3 linked regions of the Sus scrofa genome follow. The protein of the gene in region 3 binds, or shares a complex with, the protein of the main gene of each other region. Links are inferred from orthologs where the notes say so. Each region holds a gene or a part of one and is shown on either strand. Other genes may lie near its edges.

What was found.
Region 1: ARPC2 (region 3) and ARPC1B share a complex: the UniProt entries of both Homo sapiens proteins name them as parts of the arp2/3 complex. The link is inferred for Sus scrofa from reciprocal best matches to the Homo sapiens genes ARPC2 and ARPC1B.
Region 2: ARPC2 (region 3) and ARPC5 share a complex: the UniProt entries of both Homo sapiens proteins name them as parts of the arp2/3 complex. The link is inferred for Sus scrofa from reciprocal best matches to the Homo sapiens genes ARPC2 and ARPC5.

What each region holds. Positions count from the first base shown.
Region 1 is NC_010445.4:6,335,033-6,338,782, reverse strand, and holds the start of ARPC1B (actin-related protein 2/3 complex subunit 1B), read right to left. Parts: upstream 2,285-3,750; coding exon 2,221-2,284; intron 1,548-2,220; coding exon 1,443-1,547; intron 1,027-1,442; coding exon 804-1,026; intron 28-803; coding exon 1-27. UniProt on the Homo sapiens protein: Component of the Arp2/3 complex, a multiprotein complex that mediates actin polymerization upon stimulation by nucleation-promoting factor (NPF).
Region 2 is NC_010451.4:124,841,709-124,845,030, forward strand, and holds part of ARPC5 (actin-related protein 2/3 complex subunit 5), read right to left. Parts: intron 664-3,322; coding exon 487-663; intron 1-486. UniProt on the Homo sapiens protein: Component of the Arp2/3 complex, a multiprotein complex that mediates actin polymerization upon stimulation by nucleation-promoting factor (NPF).
Region 3 is NC_010457.5:120,314,062-120,317,711, reverse strand, and holds part of ARPC2 (actin-related protein 2/3 complex subunit 2), read right to left. Parts: intron 2,047-3,650; coding exon 1,860-2,046; intron 856-1,859; coding exon 762-855; intron 1-761. UniProt on the Homo sapiens protein: Actin-binding component of the Arp2/3 complex, a multiprotein complex that mediates actin polymerization upon stimulation by nucleation-promoting factor (NPF).

The sequences.
Region 1 (3,750 bases), on a different chromosome or scaffold from region 3:
GGCTTCTTGATGTGCTTGCACACCCACCTGGACAGGGCAGCCGAACAGGGAGCAGGGGAGAGGCTCAGACGGGGCACCTGCCCACCTCGCTGCCCCAGAGGCTCGGGCTCCCACGGGGCCCTGCAGGCTGCATAGGAGTCCCAGGAGGGCAGGGCCAGGCTCTGGCAGCTCAGGCGGGTGATGGGCGGGCTCTCACCCAGGGTGGGAACTTCAGCCCTGGTCTCCTTTAAGCCCTGCAACAACTCTGGGGCAGGCTCAGTAAGGAGAAGTCACGTGGCTGCTAACTGGCCAGGGTGGGATTTGAACTTGGGTCTCCAGGGCTCCAGCCTGACCTCCTGCCTGGCCTCTGCTCTCAGGGACCCAGGGGAGAAGATCATGGCGTGACTGGGAGCCTGTGAGTGGGCCCTGGAGCGGGACAGGCTGGGCGTCTTGGGCAAGTGATTTGCCCCAGAGCCTTTGCTCACCTGTAAAGTGGGGACGGCAACAGACGCCGGTCCAGGGGGCTGCTGGGGGCGGGGCGTCAATGCCAAAATGTGTGCAGAGTTAGTGCCACCCTGCAGAGGCAGCCCTGGTGTGGCCTGTGCCCTTATGACTGAGACGGGGCAGTGGGAGGGCCAGTGGCTGTGCGGGGAGCCCCTCGCCTCACCTACGAGGTCTGGAGGGGACACCCTTCCCCAGGGACATATGAACAGGGGTCTGGATACCCCGGCCAGTGCTTTTTGGGACCCTCCTGTCGCACCACCTCTTGATCTGCAGCCCCAGGTACCCCCCTCAGACCACTCTGGCCCTGCCCGGGCACCCACCAGTCATTTTCCTGCTCAAAATAGCAGATGGAGATGACACGGGAGCCACTGCCCACAGCAAACTTGTTCTCCTGGGGGGCCCAGCGCACACAGCGAGCAGCACGGTTGATGCGCAGGATGACAAGGGTAGGCTTCCACGTGCGGCCCTTCAGCGTCCACACGTAGGCGTTGCGGTCTGTGCCGCAAGTCACGATGCGGTTACTCTCAGGGGCCCAGTCAATGCCTATAGGGTGGAGAGGAGGCACTAGACTGAAGCCATCCAAGCAGATGTGGTTCTAACAGTGTCCACCCAGGAGGGGCTTAGAGGCCATAATAAGGATGGACATTGCTCTGGGGGTGCTACAGCTCTCCCAACTATCACAAAACATGCAGGAAGACCAAGCCAAGAGGCAGAAATGGGTCCTTAGTAATGCTGAGCTGCTGGATCAAGCGTTTCCTGAAGCCTGAATAACATCTGAGTTTTTCAGTAACATAAACCAATGCAATCCCTTTATAACTTCAGCCAGTTTGAATCAGGGTTTGTGCTACTTTTGACCCAAACTATCCAACCTAATACAGTGGGCAGGCCCTGTCCGGTCCAGCCCTGCCCCATCCCTCCTGCCTCCTTTCAAGAGAGCGACCCTAGCCAGCGCAACCTACCTGTCACCTGCCCATTGTGCTCCTTGAGCTCGTGCACCTGGACCCACTTGTTCCCACTCTTCTCGTAGATGTGCACCTCGTGGTTGTTGGGGCAGATGGCAATCTCTGCGGGAGAGACGGGCGGGTGCAGGGAGTGAGAGGAAGCGTGCATGCCTGGCTCTCACCCCCCATGAGGAATACCCTGGACAGGCCACCAGATCAGTTACCTTGTCCTTTGCAACTCTCTGCCTGGGAGGAGCCCCCCGAAGCCCCTCAGGTCCTGCTGGGCCCCCCCTTGTGACACCTCCGCAGGGGCTGACAACCCCTTACCCACACCCGCCACCCCCGATGCCCCAGGCAGTCTTGCCACTTCCGGGAGCTTGCACCTGCTTCCCAGCTCCAGCCACAGCCCTGCTGGCTCTGCCGCTTCGGGGCCTCTCACCTGCTGTGGCCTCAGCAGGCTGGCCCCTTCACCTCCTGTAAGCCTCTGTGCAAATGTCACCTTCCCCTGAAAGGCCCTCCCTGGTCATTTTTTCTAAACCAGCACCTCTGCTCCACCACTTGGCCCTCACCCTGCAGGTCTCTTTAGAGCTGACCTCACTGCAGGTCACATTTCCCTCCCCAGCCTGAGAGCAGAGGGCCTGGCCCCTGGAGGGGCGCCCAGCACAGGTGAGGCTGGGCTCTTGCCTCCACCTTCCATGGCCACTAGTCTTGCTGCCCTGCTTGGGTCTCCCCTCCCAAAAGCTCAGGGTCGGAGGTGAAGCCTCTCCCATCATCTCGGGGAGGGCGGGGCACTCACGGGTGCGGTCCTTGTTCCAGGCGTGGCAGCTGATGGGCTCCACCAGGAAGCTGTGATAGGCCATGGCTGCTCGGCTCCTGTGCCCAAGGCAGGGAAGAAAGCCAAGTCAGCCAGGCCCTGCCCCGGCCCCTGCCTTGCACCCTCCTTCCCTCCTGGGGCCTCAGTGTCCCTCCGTAGCTCTCACAGGCTGTCTCTGAGGCGCCAGGGGACAAAGACAAAGGATGGATGAGGACTGGAGGGCACGGGGCAGTGGGTGAAGCCACGACCGTGAGTGGGGCGTGCTGGGACGCTCCCCCACATCATCACTCATCTGTGCCTCAGATTCCTCATGGGTGGACCCCCCTCTGCCCCCCCCAGGATGAAATTCAACAATCCCAGAAACGGAGAGTGGTGCCCCGCCCCCAGCTCAGCACCCCACCCCCGCCTCCCCCCACCCCCGGGCGGGTCCTGGTTAGCCTCCCTTCACCCTCACCCCCAGCCAGCTCTGCCCACCTATGCCCCCATGCCAAGATGGGCCACCTCTCCCAGCAACTGTCCTTTCAGGCCCCCCCGCCTCCCGAGAGGGTGTGACTCCTCCCTGACTCAGCCTGTCCTGCTGAGGGGAAGCCACATGGCGCCCAGGTGAGTGTCCCCAGGACCCTGGCTGCCTCTGCCATCAGATGCCCTGCCCCCCCCCCAGGGCTGCTGGGGGCCCCCTGCTATTGGATCTTCGTGCTGAACCCACACCCTGAGGCCAGTCTCTGTGTCTGGAGCGCACCAGGCCTCCTGGCCTTTGCACACGCTGTTCCCTCTGCAAGGAAGGCCACGCCCGATGTGCCTCCGAGGCCAGCTCTCCCTGCATTTCACTCCAGCGGGCTAGTCCCTCTGGGCTGCAGGTGCCTGCCTGTTCTATTTGGCCAAGTCCTGCTCATCCATAAAGAGCCAAAGTCAGCATCACTTCCTCAGCCCCCCAGAGTTGCAGGGACCCGGGGTGGGGGCTGGGGAGTGAGTCAAGGGGAGCCCAGCAGCACTGCTTGCCTGCTGTGTGACCCTGGGCACATCACACACCCTCTCTGAATCTCGATTTCCACATCTACAAGACGGGAATGGGAACCTTAGCCCCCAGAGGTGTGAGGCTGAAGTAAGATGACACACCATGCCTGGCACACAGTAGGTGTTCATGACACGGCAGCTCTTAGTCCATAACGGACGCGACGGCACCCATCTTGCTTCACCTGTTTAGGGGTGGGCCTCCCAGCCAGACCAGAGCCTCAGGCCTTCTCACTGGCTGTTCCCTCAGCCTTCAAAGCTCTTCCCCGCGCTGCCCGCAGGCGAATGGCTGCTGCCATTCAAGTCTTGCCCAAGGCCACCGCCTGCCCCACCCCCACACACCCAATTTAGTTTTCTGCACAGATAATGAATTCTCGAACATACGTTACCCTGTCCTCATTTATTCGGCCCGTTGCTTCCCCCACTGCTGGACTCTAACAAGCTTGATGGAGACACATTTTTCTCTAACTTGTTCACATTTCTGTCCCCAGTGCCTAAATG
Region 2 (3,322 bases), on a different chromosome or scaffold from region 3:
GTAGAATCACACAGTACTTATCCTTTTGTGTCTCGTTTATTTCACTCTGCTGATTTTCAAGGTTCATTCATGCTACACTATGCACCAGAATGTCCTTTTTCAGGTTGAATAATATTCCATCATGTGTATGTATCACATTTTGTTTAACTGTTCATCTGTCCATGGGCGCTTTGGTCATTGTTAAGGAATTCTTGATTTTATTGCTTATTTTCTTCTCAATGTTTTGATGTAGTTCAAAGTTCAAGGTTTATCATTTAAGTAAAAGGTTGCGTTTAATAAACAATTATCACTGTTAACAAATCAACATCTCAAGGCCAGTAAGCATGAATCTCAATTTTCATTTTCATGGAATTTCTTCACAATAACAAAGAAGTATAACCCAAAAGTTAAAATAGTTATTTAGGTGAGGGAGGTTGTCAATCTTATTCTCTATTCCAAAGGAAACAGTCATTCAGAAGTCATACAGATCTACAACTCATAACTTACCTTTTCGTGCCACTGTAGTAACATGGCACTGCTATTGTCAGAGGGGCTCTCAAAGCCTTTATAAATATACTTCATTAGCAGATCCACGCCATTCTTGTCCAGGGACTGAACTGCTTTTTCAATATCGTTAGCTTTAAAAGAGATGAGCACCTTCAAGACAATGCTGCCTGCTCGATCCTGAGGGGAATAAATACCAGATCATTTAGACATGCGTGGGGGTAGTTTCAGAAAGGTCACATTGAGAATGTGACGTCTGAGCAAAGACATGAAGGACAAGAAAGGGGAAACCTTGGGTGTCTCTGAGGAAAGTATTTCAAGCACAGGAAGGAGGAACTGCTGTTAATGTGTGGTCAGTATATTCAAGGGTCAAGGAATAGCAAAAAGACCCAAGGTGGCTGCAGCGGAGGAAGAAGGGTAGACAGGACGTCAGAGCCGAGGTGGGAAGAGGACATAAGCCCTGCGGGCCCTTGGGAGGGCTCTGGCTTCCAGTCAGAGAAATGAGATGTTGGAAGATTCTCAAAAGAACAGTGATATAATCTTACATTGTAGCAAGACCATGTTGGCTGCCTTGTAGAGCGTAAGCCTGGGGCCGTGGGGGTTGGGGAGGGCAGGGAGAGCTTCAGATAAGGCAGAAGCAGAAGCAGGGAACCAGTTTGGAAGTTATTGCAAAAGACAGGCTGGTTTTGGCTAGCATGGTAGCAGCAGAGGTGGTCAGAAGTGGACAGATTATTATTATCATTTTTAATGGTATTTTATTTTATTAAAGCTTTTTTTTTCTTTTTTCTTTTTAGGGCCACACTCGCGGCATATGGAGGTTCCTGGGCCAGGGATCAAATCTGAGCTGCAACTGTGACCTACACCACAGCTGCTGCAACACCGGATGCTTAACCCACTGCACGGGGCTGGGGAGCTGAACCTGTGCTGCCACAGAGACAATGCAGGACCATTAACCCACTGCACCACAGCAGGAACTCCTATTTAAGTAAAAAAAAATTTTTTTTTTCTCTGACAGATTCTTGATATATTTGAAGGTAGAGGTGAAAGAAAAGAATTTGCTTACAGATAGACAGATGTGATAATTTACCAACGTATTAAATCAACACACTTTATTTCTTGATCTTTTTCTTTTTTTGCTCTTTAGGGCAGCACCCGAGCCACATGGAGGTTCCCAGGCTGGGGGTCGAATCGGAGCTATAGCTGCCAGCCTACACCACAGCTCACGGCAATGCCGGGTCCTTAACCCACTGAGCGAGGCCAGGGATTGAACCCACAACCTCATGGTTCCTAGTCAGATTGATTTCTGCTGTGCCACAATGGGAACTCCTATTTCTTGATCTTAAAAATAAAAACAAAAAAGGAAACTAAATTGCAATTCTATCTTGAACCATCCTTCAGAAATAAGTTATTAATAAGCAAAAATTTAAGTTTTTAAGAAAACATTTTAAGTTTTGGATTATGACCTTTTTTCTTTGATAAAAGGCAGTTCCAACAGCAAAGTCATTTTTTCACCCATCAAGCCCAGCACAGGGAACCTTAACTTCCCCTTTTTCACAATGTTTCTCCTATTCCACACAAAGTGCTATCTTCAATACTCCCACTGGTCAGGATTTTGCAGTATGTCTCTACCACCTGTTGTTATCGTCAGCTTAAAGACCATGTAATTACTCTATTTAGAAAAACATCCCTGCACCCAGAGCTATGACCTCCCACCCACAAGCTATGATTAAAAAAAAACACCCATATGAAAACAGAAGGTGGTAAAACTAAAATTTCAATGACTTTACATACTTTAAAAAACCCCAATTTTCCCCCGTATAAAAGATTATGTTGTCTAGATAATTATTACGCATTAACCTAAGTTATTACTTACGACTATTCAACTAAGGGGATTCTTGGGGCTTCTAGAATGTATGAATAGCTACCGACAGTGGTGTCAATGCTCTGGGCTTCATTTTATTTTATTTTATTTTATTTATTTATTTATTTTTGTCTTTTTGCCATTTCTTGGGCCGCTCCCACGGCATATGGAGGTTCCCAGGCTAGGGGTCTAATCGGAGCTGAAGCTGCTGGCCTACACCAGGGCCACAGCAATGCTGGATCCGAGCTGCGTCTGCAACCCACACCACAGCTCACGGCAACGCCGGATCGTCAACCCACTGAGCAAGGGCAGGGATTGAACCTGCAACCTCATGGTTCCTAGTCGGATTCGTTAACCACTGCGCCACGACGGGAACTCCCTGGGCTTCATTTTAAACAATAAATAAGTAAATAGGGTCTTAAGAATTACTGAAAGACTGCTACAGGGAATGTTTATACAGCTTTTCTGAAGGGCAATTTGGCAATATCATATATACCAAAGCTTTAAAAAATGTGCAGTCTAAAATCCAGTAATTCACATCTAGAAATTTATTCAAAAAAAAGTTAAGAATTTACGCAAACTGTTGATTTCAGTACTGTTTACAAGAGAAAGGTCAATAATCTAAACATATGACAAAAGGAGATGAGTTATATATAAACTACACTATTATCTATACTCAGCCATTAAAAAGGATATTGTAGAAATAAACTTATTGCCAAGGAAAGAGGTTCATGCACATTGCTGTATGGCTGAAAAAGCAGGTTATAAAATTCCATTTTCATAAAAAAAACATGCATAGGAAAACTCTTTAAGCATAGAGCAACACCAAAAAGTAATAATTATCTATGGGTAGTGGGATTATATATGATTACCTTTTTATTCCTCCCATTTCTGAGTATTCTATAATATTTAATAGAATTAAATTCTAATCATTCTGTTACAATTGCAGATCTTTTAAAAAAATCATTAAAAAGCAAG
Region 3 (3,650 bases):
GTTCTTAAATCTCTTCACTCTGCCAAGGAACAAAATGAATGTACAAGGTTTTTGGAAAATTTAACCACTGTACTAGATTTGAATGCTGAGCCATCTCAAAAGAAACCAGCCAGGATACCACTTCACCAATGAGGTCTCATGTCCAAAAGCCAACAACTGGTTAGCAGACAGCACAACAAAGTAACAGTGGTGCATTATCTCTGACTTGAGCCCAAGGGCACCAGAAATCTAATTACAAAATGTCCTGCTAAACGCCATTACTCTCCTTCGTGGATGAGCTTCTTCAGAGGGAGATACTCCACGGTGACCTCGGTCAAACTCAGGCCCATTCTCTTCACTTTTAGGTCAACAACTCTACCCTACTAATGTGTTACCTAGTACTTAAGAATGTTCTCTAGACTCCATTTCGAAAAGACTTTAGGACTAAACCAAGACAAGAACAGACCTTGCTAGAAACTTGAAGAGGGTAGAAAGTGTGGCCAAACTTTAAATCAAAGACCTCATGGCAAAAAGGATGCTTAATATTTTGTCACTTTGTTAGTATGTTTAATATTCAATTCGTCCTCTAGTCCAGTCTTGCAAAAGGCTAAAGCCACTAAGAAGAAAAAAAATCAGTGAATTTGATGGGAACTGTTTAATGAAGTCTTGAATAAGTTTCAGCATCATTAGAGCTGCCAGTTCTTTTCTATGCTTATGGTATGCTTTGGTGCCAAGGTACAGGTCATCAGCCATGGTTCCCCCCCAAGATGTCTGCTCCATACCTGCATGAACACCTTTCCAATGACCACATCGTCGTCATCCTTAAACACTGTGCTGAAGACTACTGTGACTCTGTCCTTTTTAGACTCAACATACCTGAGGGGAACAAAACCCATGAGTTAAGTACAGAATCAGAACAAGGTTTTGTCAAGCTTGACCTACAACCGAAGCCAGAGAGTAAAGTTATAAATGTCTAAATTCATAAAATAAGATGTACCAGTGACACTAAGTATTTAAGGCTGGTAAGTCAGTATAATAAATGCATGCCCAAGGAGAAGCAGATGAAAATCACCCAAAGTCAATGTTATGATTAACTAGTCTATACAGTATGACATGAAATCTTGAATTAATAATTCTCAGAATTCTACTTTATTTATTTACTTTTTGCTTTTTAGGGCCATAACCGAGGCATATGGAAGTTCCCAGGCTAGGGTCGAATCGGATCTACAGCTGCTGGTCCAAGCCACAGCCACAACTAAGAATCTGAACTGTGCCTGTGACCTACCCACAGTTCAAGGCGACGCCGGATCCTTAACCCACTGAGCAAGGCCAGGGATCGAACCCATATCCTCATGGATACTAGTTGGGCTCTAGACCCGCTGAGTCACAATGGGAACTCCAAAAGCTCAGTTTTACTTATTTGGCTGCGCCTGTGGCATACACAAGTTCCTAAACTAGGGGTCGAACCCACACCACAGAAGTGACAATGCTAGATCCCCAACCTGCAGAGCCACGAGGGAATTCCAAAATGTATTCCTTTATATACTATGAGATTTACAGTATGTAGATAACCTAAGAGCTGCAACAACACAGTCACCCTCTGCTTGCTGACTATCTGCTGTATTACTGGAGGGACTCAAAATGGTGTACCTTTAAGGACAGCAGTGGATTCCCTTTTCATCTTTTGCCAACTTTTCAGTATCTGGAACTTTAGGAGAAGTGGCCTTTTCATGCCCCGCTACCTCTTACATCTTGGCTTAAAGAATTTTATGGAAAGATACATGGGAGGATTCACACAATAGAGTTTAAGGTCTGACTTAGCTGAATCTTTCGGCATGTGACAGCCACACCCAGGCTTCAGGACCAAATTCTATACTCACATGGTCTCATCATCCCTATAATGGATAACTGCTCTGTTCTCTCCTTCCTTGCCCTCTTCTTGGAATTGGAAGTATTTCTCGAAGACAGAGGCAAAACAGTTTCGTTTCAACATGCCAGCCTGATGCACGATGGAATCCTTGGACGCAGGAAGATTTTCAAGGTCGTAGAGCAAAGAGACATTATAGCCTGGGAGGGAAAAAAACCTTTTAGGCTCTATAAACATTTTACTTTGTCTCAGTGTCTGTACTTTTTTTTTCCTGCACCTATGGTATGTGGAAGTTACTGGGCCAGGGACTGAACTCACGCCATAGCAGCGACCGAAGCTGCTGAAGTGACAACACTGGATTCTTAACCTGCTGTGCCATAAAGGAACTTTTCAGTGTCTGTACTTTAACCCAGGTAGAATGCCTTCCATTCCTATCTACCTCACAGTGCAAAGGGGGTGAAATAAAACCTTAATTCTTGTAAAATTACTACACACATGCACACAGAAATAAACTAACGAATGCTATGCAAAAATGTGAATCAATATTAAAGATGACCAATTACAAATATGGAATGGGAGGAACTTATAATCAGGGAACTCTGATTAGAAATTTAGTATTTCAGGCACAGTTGATAGCTTGAATACTCTATCAAGCTAGATGTGAGTTACATATTTTTCTCTGATAGTTGAACATGCCAAGTGCCAACAAGGTCAGCAGCTGGGCTGCTTTTTTGATAATAAAACATACCCATTTACATGCCATTACAAACCCTGAGGATGGAGGCAAGTCCTGGGAAAAAAACATGTACATATTCCTCCCCAATGGCTTTTGTGTACACTGTAAAAGTCTCAAAGTGTTTTAAAATATTGTATTTCCTTTGATCTCCATTAAGAATTCTTTGAAGTTGGCATGCCAGATATAGTTATTCTCATTTTAGAGGGAAAATGAGGTTCAAAGAAGCAAAATGCAGCATGATATGGAGGTAGAGGCAACACTCTTTGGAGCTGAATGAAACTTGGTTCAAACCCTGGCCTTGCCACTTGTGACCATGGACAAACTGCCTAACCTCTAGTTGGAGAAGGCTATTGGGAGAAGTATAAGAATGTACAGTATTTAAAGTGCCTGGAGGACCTCCTGTTGTGGTACAGCGGAATCGAATCTATTACCATGATGATGTGGGTTTGATTCCTGGCCTCGCTCAGTGGACTGGGGATCTGGCCTTGCTGTGAGCTGTGGCAGGTCACAGGTTTGATTCAAATCCTGCATTGCTGTGGCTGTGGTGTAGGCTGGCAGCTGTAGCTCTAATTCAACCCCTAGCCTGGGAACTTCCATATGCCCTGAGCGCGGCCCTAAAAAGCAAAAAGCCAAAAAAAAAAAAAAAAAAAAAAAAAAAAAAGCTTGAACATGGGGGGTCATAATAAACAGGGCAGAACAGGGACTGAAATCCAAGTCAGCTGATGACTACACTATGCTGCCTCTTACTAAGCGCTGAGTACAAATTCCAACAGGGCTGGAGACAATTTATTATAGAACTGAAAAATTATTATCTGTCTAAAAGCCTGCAGATGATTTTGCAAGAATATCTGTGCATCACTGAGGACCATTTCACATTGCACACAACTGATGAGAATAATTTTAGCAGAACCTGCATGGATTTCTCATTTCCTAGTATTTCAGACCTTTACACTTTGTTACTATTTAACTTTTTCCCCAGAGTATTCCTGAGGTCTGAGTTTTTGTTGGGTCTATCCTGAGAACATTGGCTGGCTATCTAAATCTCTGTTGTAGCTCGTGCTTAGTACA